2 linked regions of the Caenorhabditis elegans genome follow. The protein of the gene in region 1 purifies or fractionates together with the protein of each later gene. This does not show direct contact. Each region holds a gene or a part of one and is shown on either strand. Other genes may lie near its edges.

The links. Proteins that work in one complex are often made in the same cells at the same time.
Region 2: the proteins of dot-1.3 (region 1) and pals-8 fractionate together in Caenorhabditis elegans (co-fractionation; one large-scale study listed by BioGRID). This does not show direct contact.

The regions. Positions count from the first base shown.
Region 1 is NC_003284.9:12,299,993-12,305,565, reverse strand, and holds dot-1.3 (Histone-lysine N-methyltransferase, H3 lysine-79 specific), read left to right. Parts: upstream 1-2,710; 5' UTR 2,711-2,748; coding exon 2,749-2,849; intron 2,850-2,894; coding exon 2,895-3,018; intron 3,019-3,062; coding exon 3,063-3,209; intron 3,210-3,255; coding exon 3,256-3,464; intron 3,465-3,520; coding exon 3,521-3,771; intron 3,772-3,839; coding exon 3,840-3,946; intron 3,947-4,024; coding exon 4,025-4,027; 3' UTR 4,028-4,243; downstream 4,244-5,573. Other genes in the region: W06D11.5 (NR LBD domain-containing protein), read right to left, coding at 4,284-4,418, 5,124-5,432.
Region 2 is NC_003279.8:13,119,118-13,124,875, forward strand, and holds pals-8 (Protein containing ALS2cr12 (ALS2CR12) signature), read left to right. Parts: upstream 1-1,974; 5' UTR 1,975-2,005; coding exon 2,006-2,091; intron 2,092-2,137; coding exon 2,138-2,285; intron 2,286-2,495; coding exon 2,496-2,749; intron 2,750-3,092; coding exon 3,093-3,264; intron 3,265-3,639; coding exon 3,640-3,804; intron 3,805-4,053; coding exon 4,054-4,290; 3' UTR 4,291-4,396; downstream 4,397-5,758. Other genes in the region: pals-11 (Protein containing ALS2cr12 (ALS2CR12) signature), read right to left, coding at 5,059-5,433, 5,476-5,758.

The DNA of each region.
Region 1 (5,573 bases):
AAAAGATGCTAACTGGCAAAAATAATTGTAAGAAAATATGGAAAACGAAAAGAAGTGCAGTGTCCCTTTGGGGGCAACAACAAAACAGATGGAAATGAATGGAGGTGTTTCAGATGGTGCCAGATGCGGGTTTAAACGCGTTTAAAATATGAAATCATGAAGTCTTTTTCAAAATTTAATTTTCTAGCAATATAGTGGCGTTATTTAAAGTAAAGCAAACTCATGCAAGTTAATATGAGGCAGTGCATGATAACTATTCCGTAAAATTGAGTCAGACAGCGTGCTAATTAGTAGTATGCATTATAATCCAAATTCAGAGCCGATGCACACAATCCAACAAAACTGAACTCATTTCACGAATTTTTATAACAAAGTATAACGATTTAGTCCCCACAAAACACTATAAATTGTTCAAATTGGGTAGAGAGTAAGACGTAACAGTGTATGTTTTGCCAAAAAACTAAACCTTGATTTGTAGTTTTCACACTGTAGTGATGAAGAATGAATCTTGGAAATATTATAAGAGAAAAATTATTGACGTGCACAGAATAAAAATCTGACGGTATATGAAACCAAAGCGATGAATCAATTTCAAATTCCCATGCCTCATTCCATTTACATATTGCATCCTTCTTCAATACACTGTTTCTCGCAACAAGACAAATTTCATATTGCAATGAAACAATAAACACTGTTCTGCTACAATCATACTTGTGATCCGATTTTTCTGATGAAAAGGTAGCAAAATGCTGCAGAAAATAGCAAAACACCAATATTTGGGCATGTCAAACTGAAAAATTACCAAACAGAGACATCTAGAAGTGTAGTAATTTTCACTGTCAAGTTTCGTTTTTAAAAATTGCCAGCTCGTAAATATGAGATTTAATATTGTCATTCAGGATGATTCTTCCACTTATTCCAACTAAATGTGTATTCCGAAGCTTCTATTCAATTTTTTCATATCACCAAGCGTCGCTTTTCAGGTTTCCACGTTTTACCAATTTCCAATTCTTTTCGAAATATTCATCAGTCAAACCTTAACTATTTCCAGCAACCTGGTTCAAAATAGCTTTTTCCTGTCCAAATCAGCTTTATCTACCCCCACTTCCGGCTGCACGTGTGGCCGAGGCGGTAGGACGGCCGCCTCTGGATCAAAGCTTTTTGATCCGACAAGTTCGATTCTCCATGAACGGCAAAGCATGCGGGCGAGATAGCAGAACTGGAGAATAGTCACAAAATGATAGAAAATTACTTGCAGTAAGAAAAAGACACGGGAGTGCTCACCGAGATGTCTTAATGAATTTGGAGAATGAAAAAGAGTTCGGTTGAAAAGAACTGTCTCTTAAATGGCACACTGCCGTGTTTCGGTGGTTTTAATAATACTCCCTCCCCGCATAAACCTAGATATGAGGGAGGAAGAGTCCATGAATGGCAAATCATGGCGAGCAGATAGTATGGACTTGTGAACATTCCAAACTATCTGAGCAAGATATCCAAGAATTGAAAGATGGTTGAAGCATATGGGTGTGAGAGCAGAACTGGAAGTTGTAGTATATCAAATAATCGAAAGATGGTGGAAGCATAAGGTGTAGTAGAGAAGAACTGGAAGTTGTGAAGATTTATTGGGATCAAAAGGATTGGAATTGAGCATGTCTTGGGAAACATGAGTTGGGAGACAAAAGGATTGGAATTGAGCTGGAATTGAACGGGCTAAGACAGAAAGGATTGGAATTGAGCTGGAATTGAACGGGCTAAGACAGAAAGGATTGGAATTGTACTGGTCAAAGAACTGAAATTGGGAAAGAAAGGATTGGAACTGACCTGGAATGAAACGGGTTGAGTCAAAAAGGATTGAAATTGAGCCTGTCGGAAAACATGAGTTGGAAAGAAAAGGATTGTAATTGATCTGGAATGAGTTGGAAAATCAAAGGATTGGAATTGATCTGGCATGAATTGGGAAAAAAATGATTGGAAATGAATTGAATTATGAGTATGAGCTGAAAAAGTGAAAGATTGAATTGGTATAGCTTAAAGCTAGATGGATAAATGATACTGGGTGGCAGTTCTGGAACATGAGACTTTTCTGATGTTCTACCTGCACTCACCCAATACCAAATTTAGTCCGTAAAAATAACTTATTTCAATTGGAAATATGAGTTTCCCGCGGATTTACATTTGTTGCTCTATCTGTCGCGAATAGCATGGAGCAGGATCTCCATTATTCACGACTCAATAATTATTCTATAATTATTGCATAATTATGTACTCTACAATGGACGCTAACAACACCGAGCATTTCTATCACCATCGCTCAAGGAACAACCAACAGTCAGTGCTAACAAAGAACAACCACGTGAACCATTTGCGACGTGAACCCCGGATGGATGCATACAAGGAACAAGATAATCTAACAACAACAACATTCACGCCATGACCTTGCCACGCCAATACGAACAACTCAACCTTGGACACGTGGACCACTTTGCCAACCTTGGAGGGACTTCCCGAATCAGTTCTTACTTTATGTTCTTGCGTTACTTGTCTATTAGTGTTACTAGTTGTCTATAATAAATCCTTGTAGAGTCACCAAGTGTACTGTTAGTTTAACTTATATAAAATACCACTGAACGCACTGCAAAACACTAGCATTTCATCTTTTACTTAATCTTCAAGCTCTTCTCACAACAATTCATTGTGATATATCAAAAATTTTCAGAAATACCAAATCTCTGCTCACTTGAAATCACGATGCCAGTCATTCACTTGTCAAGCGCTCGAAAGGGAAATGCTGAGTTCAAGTTTCCAAACACGCTCCATTTCCGTCAAACAGTCAAAGAAATGTTCGAGGAGTAAGTTTTCTGGACAAACGCTGAGTTACTGGGATTTTGTTTCAGAATCTACAAGCCGATTCTTGATGCCGTGAAGGTTCCCCTGCCTTCTGACGCAGTCGTTGGTAACCCGGACAAGTTTTCCCAGTATATTGATGCACTCAATCTGAAACTTGCGCATCCTGATGTGGTATGACATATGTTTGCATATGAATACTAAATAAATAATTTCAGCTTTCACGAGTCCCTGCAAAGCATCACGAGATCACGTCAACTAGATTATGTTCTTTGACAGTTGCGATCAAACTCGCTGAACTTGCGTATCGTTTCTCGGTGCCAGACGCCAACGTGCTCCGCCACTACGCTGTTGGAACGTCTACAGTAAGTTTCTCAGAGAAATTAAAATTTCTCAAAGAATTATTTTAAGGTGTACGGAGAGCTCCATTGTTCACAAATGGCCAGCTTTGTGGATCAACTCAACATGGGTCCTTCCGACTATTTCATGGATTTGGGAAGTGGAATCGGTCATTTGGTGAATTTTGTTGCTGCCTACGCAAGAACTCAGATGAGCGTCGGAGTTGAGCTCATGGATAATTTGGCAGAAATTGCCGAAAAGAACAAAGAGTTCAATGAGCGGTAAGTTGGGAATTGTTCATAATAATTTCCGATGTGATCAATTCGTTCGTTTTCAGACTCCTCAACCACTTCGGGAAGAAGGTTTACGCAACCCGGTTCATCCATGGCTCATTCACGAGTCCGGCCGTCATCCGAGAGATTCAAACCAAGGCCACCGTCATCCTCGCAAACAATGTGCGCTTCGATCCAGAGCTGAAGCTTCAGCTCAAAGAGATCCTCATGGGCTGCAAGGATCGAACTCGAATCATATCCTCGGAGCCGCTGGTCCCAAGTCGTGCTCGTCAAACGAATTCGCGTCGTGCCGATGGTAAGTTAAATACTTCAGAACTCTCTTTTATATGGGAAATATCAGTAATTAACTCCAACTTTTTTTAGATTTCGTCAAAATCTCGGATGAGTCTCTTCTCAATCTCGTTGACAACAATGTATCGTGGACAAGTAGAAAAGTGCCATTCTACTTGACTACAATCAATCGCAACAAGGTTAGTTTTTTTTACTGTGTTCGATTTTAGGGGTTTCTGGGTATTAAAGTTAAGTAAAATCTAAACTATTCATTTCAGTGATCAACGAGGCCTTCTACATTCATCACACCATCTGCTATCACGTGTCATTTAATAATGTTTTCGGTTATTTTTCAATTAGGATCTCCCCCTTCCCTCCTCCTCAATATGACCATCTATGTTGCCTCCTTTTTGTTTTTCGTTTGTTCTGATCCGGATACCAACCGTCTTCTCTTTGTACTATCAAACTTGTTGGTTTCATAAATTCGTTTCTTGTTTTAACCACATCGTTTTATGTCTAAACACCCTAAAGCGTTCTTCACTGTTCGTTAGTTATCTGTCGTCGTTGTCTTTGAACTGCTTCTTGTTGTGAGTCTCCGGTCTTTTGTGCATCGAAATCGTATGGTGTCAACCCGATAAAAAATTCAAGCATCTTTGTAGCATGGAGGAGCTTCTGAAATGTATGATTTATTAGATTTATTTTTTATTATGATCTACAAAAGTGTTCTACAAATATGTTTCGAAAAGACAAATAATGTTTTTGGTTTTTTTTTCGAAGAAATTGACTATATATGGTAATTTTGCACTAAAAAATTGACTGGATTTTTAAACCTACTATGTGGAAAAATAAAAAAAAATTGAACCTGACTACGCTACTTCGAAAGTCTCAGTAATTTTAAAGATATCAATAAAAATTAACTACAAAACTATAGAAGAAAACAAACATTTTGTATAATATTATAACAATTTTTGCATAACACAAACGACAACTGAGATATGAACTGTCAAAGTCGAATAATGGGTGCAATATTAATAGTGGAAATGCGGTTTTTGTTCGTTGAAACTAGGGTTCCCATGTCGGCGCCTCAAACGCCGATCTCGCGCAGCGAGCCGAAACGTTTATAGCGATGCGCGTGCACAAACGCGGAGCAACAAATAGTACCTTACCATATTGCATTATTTGGTGCAAACTGAACTTGGCTTTCCGTCCGACACTTTTTGGGTTCCGGGCATCGCTATAAAGATTTCGGATCGCGGCGTGAGAGCGGCGTGAGGGCTGCGTTTGCAGGGCCGACATGAAAACCCTAGTTGAAACTAAAATGTTTCAGGACTCATTTTTGAGGCATAATAGCATGCTACAGACAAATAACCTACCTACCTTCTGCTGATCAGGTTTCAACAAATGAAATGGTGTTGGTCTGTTGCTGTTGCCTTCTTGGAGCCATTCATTGCAAATTTTTAATCCAACTTTCAAGAGCATTTGTCGATCTTTTACTTCCTGTAGGACAAAAGATTCTCGTCGTGATAAACATGACATCAGTTTACAGTACATGTTACGAATTTCCTCCATGACTTTTTGAACTGGTTGTCGATCTACATCGCGGAGTGTTGCGTATTTTATCATTTCTTCTCTCTTGCTATTTTCCTCCTCAAAAAGTTTTCTTTCCTCTTCCCAAAGTTCAGCCATTATTTTTGCAATCAACCGCTAATCAACATTTTGCCATTTTCTTGCTGCCTGTTCAACTTGATCCCACTTTTTTTGTTTTTTAAAAATAATCTTTATGATTCATTAAACCATTCTTGAGAACTATATCAATTTATTAATCAA
Region 2 (5,758 bases), on another chromosome or scaffold:
AGTATGCATGGGACCGTAGTAAATAATTATCAGTGAAACAACAAACCTCACAAAGCTCAATATCGCCTTCCAAATCCGATCCTCCACTTCCGGTCGTTAGTTTGAATGTGTGATCCGCCAAAGAGTCGACTTTGCCTGTAACATCTCGTCCAGCGCTGATCATTCTCTTGACAACAGCAATGAAAACAGCTTCTTTTCTGTCTTTCTCCCGTTCTTGGTTGACGCACATCTTTGTTGCCATACTCCTTTCTTCTAGCTCATAAACTCGTGAATCATGATCTATTTGATTTTTTTCATTACCCAACTTGATTTCATTGGTTCTCTGCGTTTCGTTCAAAACAATGGCGTTGTTCTCTTCCGCTGTCTTCAAGACTTTCAGTCCAAATTGTTTCTTCTCGTTATGACACTCCTCTTGAAATCGGGTGTTCTGAATTTAAAAATAGTCTTATATTATGAAATTTTTCGCATTTCCATATGTAGTACCACGTGGACATATGCGTTTTGGGAAGAAGCTATGTAGGTTCAACTCACCTCCTCTTTCCGCGCTTTGACGTTTGAAAATATGCTCTCCTCGATGCGATTTTTATTCTGCTCGGTCTGTTTCCGCATTTCTTGATCAATCTTCTCCCTTGTCATCATTTCCTTATTATCCGCATCTTTTTGGTTTCTCAATGCCTCATCTGATCTTTGCATTGCTTCGTAATATTCTTTTTGATGTGATTTGACGAGTTCATCCTCTCTCTTATTGTTCTCAATTTTTGTCTCATGTAACTGTTTCACGGCTTCCTGAACTTGAACAATTGATGATTTACCCAGACAATTGTTTTATTATTAATTCTTACTGATTTTGCACATATCTTACTTATAAAATCACCTGTCTTTCTCTATCTGCGCGTTCTTCCTCGGCTCTTCTCTGCGATAGTTCGGAGCTTCTCAAGTCACTCATACGCTCACGATAGTACGCTTCTTTTCGTTCCTGAGCCTCATATCGTCTTTTTCGCTCTTCATACTCCCGTTGTGCTTGTGCTTGTGCTTCCTGTTGAGCTTATGCTTCCCGTTTAGCTTTTGCTTCTCGTTGAGCTTGGATCTCCCGGTTTTTTTGTATTCTCCTATCCTGAAATAACTTGTTTGTTTTGAAAATAAAGAGGTAATCCCATACCTTATGCCCAGTGACAACATTGACCATATCCTCTAAGAAGCCCAGCATTCCGAAGCAATCTGAAACTGTAAAATAAAAACCGACATCGTGAAGCCTACAATTTTTTTCAATTTAACAAAACATGTTTGCACTACGATACTGTACGATTCCGGTAGGGCCGGTAGAACTTATAGTTTGCTAGTGGACTTCAGATAATGCATGAAAAGTGAACTTGTGTATTTTCAAATTAATAGTAAGTATCTATAATGCACACCTGAACTCAAATATATATGAAACGTTTAGGTGTTAGCAATATACGCGTATGAGAAAAGTTGATGCCTCTTCCTTATGACATGTGGCAACAATTTATACAGTTTCACTTATTATAAGGAATTCACGATTCTTCCTTCTTGAAAATGTCATCAAAATGTTTTCTTGCTAACCATAACTACAAGTATATACAACTGTTATCAATATTCGTTTATTTATGAAGTTTGATGTTTTCAGACAACTTTGAATCTGATAAAGCATTAAAAAAATCAACTACAGCAGCTTTAAACAAATGTTGGTGTTAGCAATGCGATGAAAAAGGATTTCTATTCCTTATGGCATGTGGCAACGACTTATACAGTTTCATTAATTATAAGGAATCCTCGATTATATTTTTTGGAATCTGTCATTGCAATATTTGTTCTTGCTAATTGCAACTTCAAATATAAACAACTCTTATCAATGTTCCATTTCATTTCAGTATTCCTTCGGTTTTCCACATTTACAAACTATCTAACATAATTTTATTATTAATTTTTTTGTGGTACAGAATTTTCAAAATTTAGGACGACCACTCTATAGGTGCAGAAAAAGAAAATGAGTGAAGCGGCCTATTATCGCGAACTGGAAGCTTCTGAACGACGGTTGAGCGAACTTCGGGCTGCTAATCGAGAAAGTGTTAAGTACGTTTCGCGTTGAGGTCCAAAATAACAGTTCTGCGAGTTTCAGAAGAGTGCAAGACAAAATAACCGACGAGAAAACGCAACATCAGGCACGTATCGCGGAAAAAGAGAGAAAGCATCGTGAAAACATGTTACGACAATGGAATTCTAGCGTTGCGGAGAGGAATGCCGCTGAGGAAATACATAGGAAATCGGTATGATTGGAGGTTGGATCTGAAGTTGTATAAAATTCATTTAAGCTTTTTTTGATGAGGTTGGTGTACAGCCTAGCTTTCTTTAAGACAATAGGCCCCTTCGTCACAAGTCTATAGGTTGACCTCTCGCCACCTTTACTTCGAAGAAAGATTTTTAGCAACTTCTTTAAGAAAAACGTACGATTTGAAGCTTGAATGTTGAATTTTTAGGTTGAAAAATTCAACGAAGAACACAAAACCTATATGGCAAAGTTAGAAAAGCAACTAGAGAAAATAAACGAGAAGGGAGAACAAGATGTTAAAGAAGTTGAACAGCAACGTGTAAAACTTGAAGAACAACGAACAGAAGACCTTGTCAAGCATCACGAATCGATGGCGAACCTCAGTGAGAAAAAATACAAAGAAATTGAAAAACAAAGAGTAGAGCAACATATGTTGAAAATGGAAGAGTTGAATGCAAAAAGGTAAGGAGTGTTACCTCATGAGGTGTGAAATTTATCCAGGAATGCTAACCATAAAGAATTTTGTTATTTTCACAACTTTTTTGATTGTTTCAAAAAATTTTTCGATGAATCGACAAACGACAATATCGGCAATCGCCGAAATTTGTATAATTTTTGTTTATTTCTCTCTTTTAACAGAAAATTGAACCAAAACTTATATTTTTCGGGATTTACGGAAAAGTAAGAAAGTTTTGGAACAAAGTTCCACAAAAATTTCAATTTTTACACTGCTAAACTATCGATTCAAGTGAGCTTCGTAACCTCACATTTAAAAAATTTTTAAAGTGTTAACATTTTTTTTCAGTAAACAAAATACGAGTCTTTACCAAATTCAAATGAAAAACATTAATGATTCACACAACATGCAATTAAGCATAGAAAAGAGTAATGCTAGTTTGGCTGTCATTCAACATTCAGAGAGTTGCATTGAAAGCTTTAATGTGATCTTGGGTCTATTGAAAGATATGAAAGAGTTGGTAAGCTTAACTGTGGAGTAGCGCCAGTGGGGATTTTGTTTAAGTAAATTTATAATAATTCAAAACAACCGAATATCATATTAAAACACTCCAAAATGTTTTAGCTTTTTTCATAATTTCCTGCCAAAGTTTTGGCAAGTTGCCAAAATTTTGAAAAATATGAACTTTTGAAGAAATCAAAAGAAAAATTATGAGTGGCAAAAACTGAGTGATTGTCACTTTTTGACACCAAAAAATTTTCAAAAATTGTTTGAATTTTTTTCGTGATATTCGGTCATCTTGGCACCATATGAGTAGTTTTCAAGCAATTTAGCCACTGGCGCTACTCTACCTTTAATAGTAATTGAGAATTAAATAATTCATACAATAATTTAGAGCGAGAACAAAGATCACTACCTTCCTGCTGACTTGAAAAAAATAAAGTATACTTCGGACGAAATTGAAAAGCACAAATCTAAATTGGAATTTCGAAATCAACAGCTCGAAAGTAGTAGGACTCTGGAAATCAATGCAGACCCACGAGTGATTGGCGGATCTTCGGTGAGTTTGCATATTCGAAATATAAAATTTCAAAAAAAAACCGTGATGCTGGTTTAGTTGCGGAAATCTGCGCTGGAGAAGTGAGAGTGAGGTGGTATTTCAAATATGGTGCACGGTCTGTGTGTAACTGATTAAAATCCATCTCCATTTCAGAAATTGGGTAAGACAATAGGAATTATAATTATTGCCCCCAATGTTGGACAAGAAATATATCCAACAGCCACAAAAATCTAAACATTTAACATTAAGGAAATGTCAATCAAAGTGAAGCGATGCATAGAGTCAAGTGGCTTTCGTTCAGTGTGTACTTTGCCCAGTCTTGCTGCACAACAGGATCTTGCTCGTATTAGTACAATTATGGACAAAATCGACAGTTTGACCAATAAGATGGATGCTATTAGTGAAGAAGTTCAGCGCAATACAATTCAATGGCAACAAGATGGAAATTCGTCTATGAAGGCTTTGACGCATACCAACGGGAGTTGATTGTATATAAATAATTGCTTTATTGTTATTTCATAAAAAGGAAATTCTATGAGCTCACTTTTATGTGCCTCTATCTATTATAAATAAAATTCATGATATTCTCCGGTATACTTCCTAGTTTTCTAGTTCATGGCGATGCGACTTGGGCTGCTTTGGCAGCAGCCTCCGCAGCACTATAGAAATACAGTATCAATAATATCCCGTGACAATTTTCATAAAACTGAATATAAATTGGCTTGATGTTCCTAAAGGGCTGCGAAGGGCTGCGAGTATGAGCGTTTTCCTGAGGGGATGGTATCAGCTCCCTCGTAGTCATCGCAGCTCTGAGCAGCCCAACTTCATCCTATTTATCAGTCCTTCAGCACCATCAACCCAATTTTTATTCAGTTTTATGATACTGTGTTGCTAAAGGGCTGCGGGGGGTTGCTGCCCAAACAGCCCTAGATGCGGCATCCATTCTGCAACCTGAGAAAACACTTAATTTTAGGGCACTAATCAAGTTAGAAAAAACAATGGAAAAAGTGATGGGGTGAAGTTATGTCATCTGCTTGCCATTTGCCAATCGGTCTGGCAAACGGCAAACCAATCGAAAAACAACGAGGGTTCAACAATTGACAGTTTTTTCAACACTAAAGTTAAAATCTTTGAAAAAAAAACTAGAAATTTTTCAAACTGCAAAAATTAAACATTTATTTCCTTACAACACAAAAAAAAGTTTTAAACGTTGAATGATGACTGCAATGAGTATCACGAAAAGATCAATGAACTTCAATTCAAGAGACTTTTCGAATTTTGTGCACTTTCGCAATCCTTCTTCCATTCATATAAAATCAGTTCCATATTTCTGATTTCAATGTCAGCATGTTTCTTTAGTTTAATGTTACGCAGCTTGCTGACTGCATAATTTAACATATTCATCCTATCCTTGAAAGCTTTGAAAGCCGTGATTGATTTGTCCAGCTCAGAGAATGTGCTCAAAAATGTGTTCAAACTATTTCGAACATCAACGATCTTGTTGAGAATCTGTTTTACCACATTTGTATTCGCACCGCCTTTCATACCATCATATCCTTTGAAATTCGACACTTTTTCTGATGCTTCTTCCAAATTATCCATTTTATTCTTTACAAGAGTCACGAGAATCTGAAGAAAACTGTGCAGAAATTGGAACTATTTAACTGTTACCTCGCGATTCCTTGTACTTATCGTTTGTTTATCATCATTGCTCAGGGATTTGTGAACCACCGTCACCGCTTTCGAGATTAAAGCCCAGATATGCTTCACGTGCTGGACAGTACTATTATATTTTTCTTCAAGAATATCATTTCTGACTGCTTTCGCCAGATCTCCTTGTTTCAGTTTCATCTTCAAGTCGATTTCTTCACATTTGGTCTGATGTATGAATTTCTGTTCTCGCATGCTCTTTTCCGCTTCCGACATTGATCGATTCAAATTTGATATAGTTTCT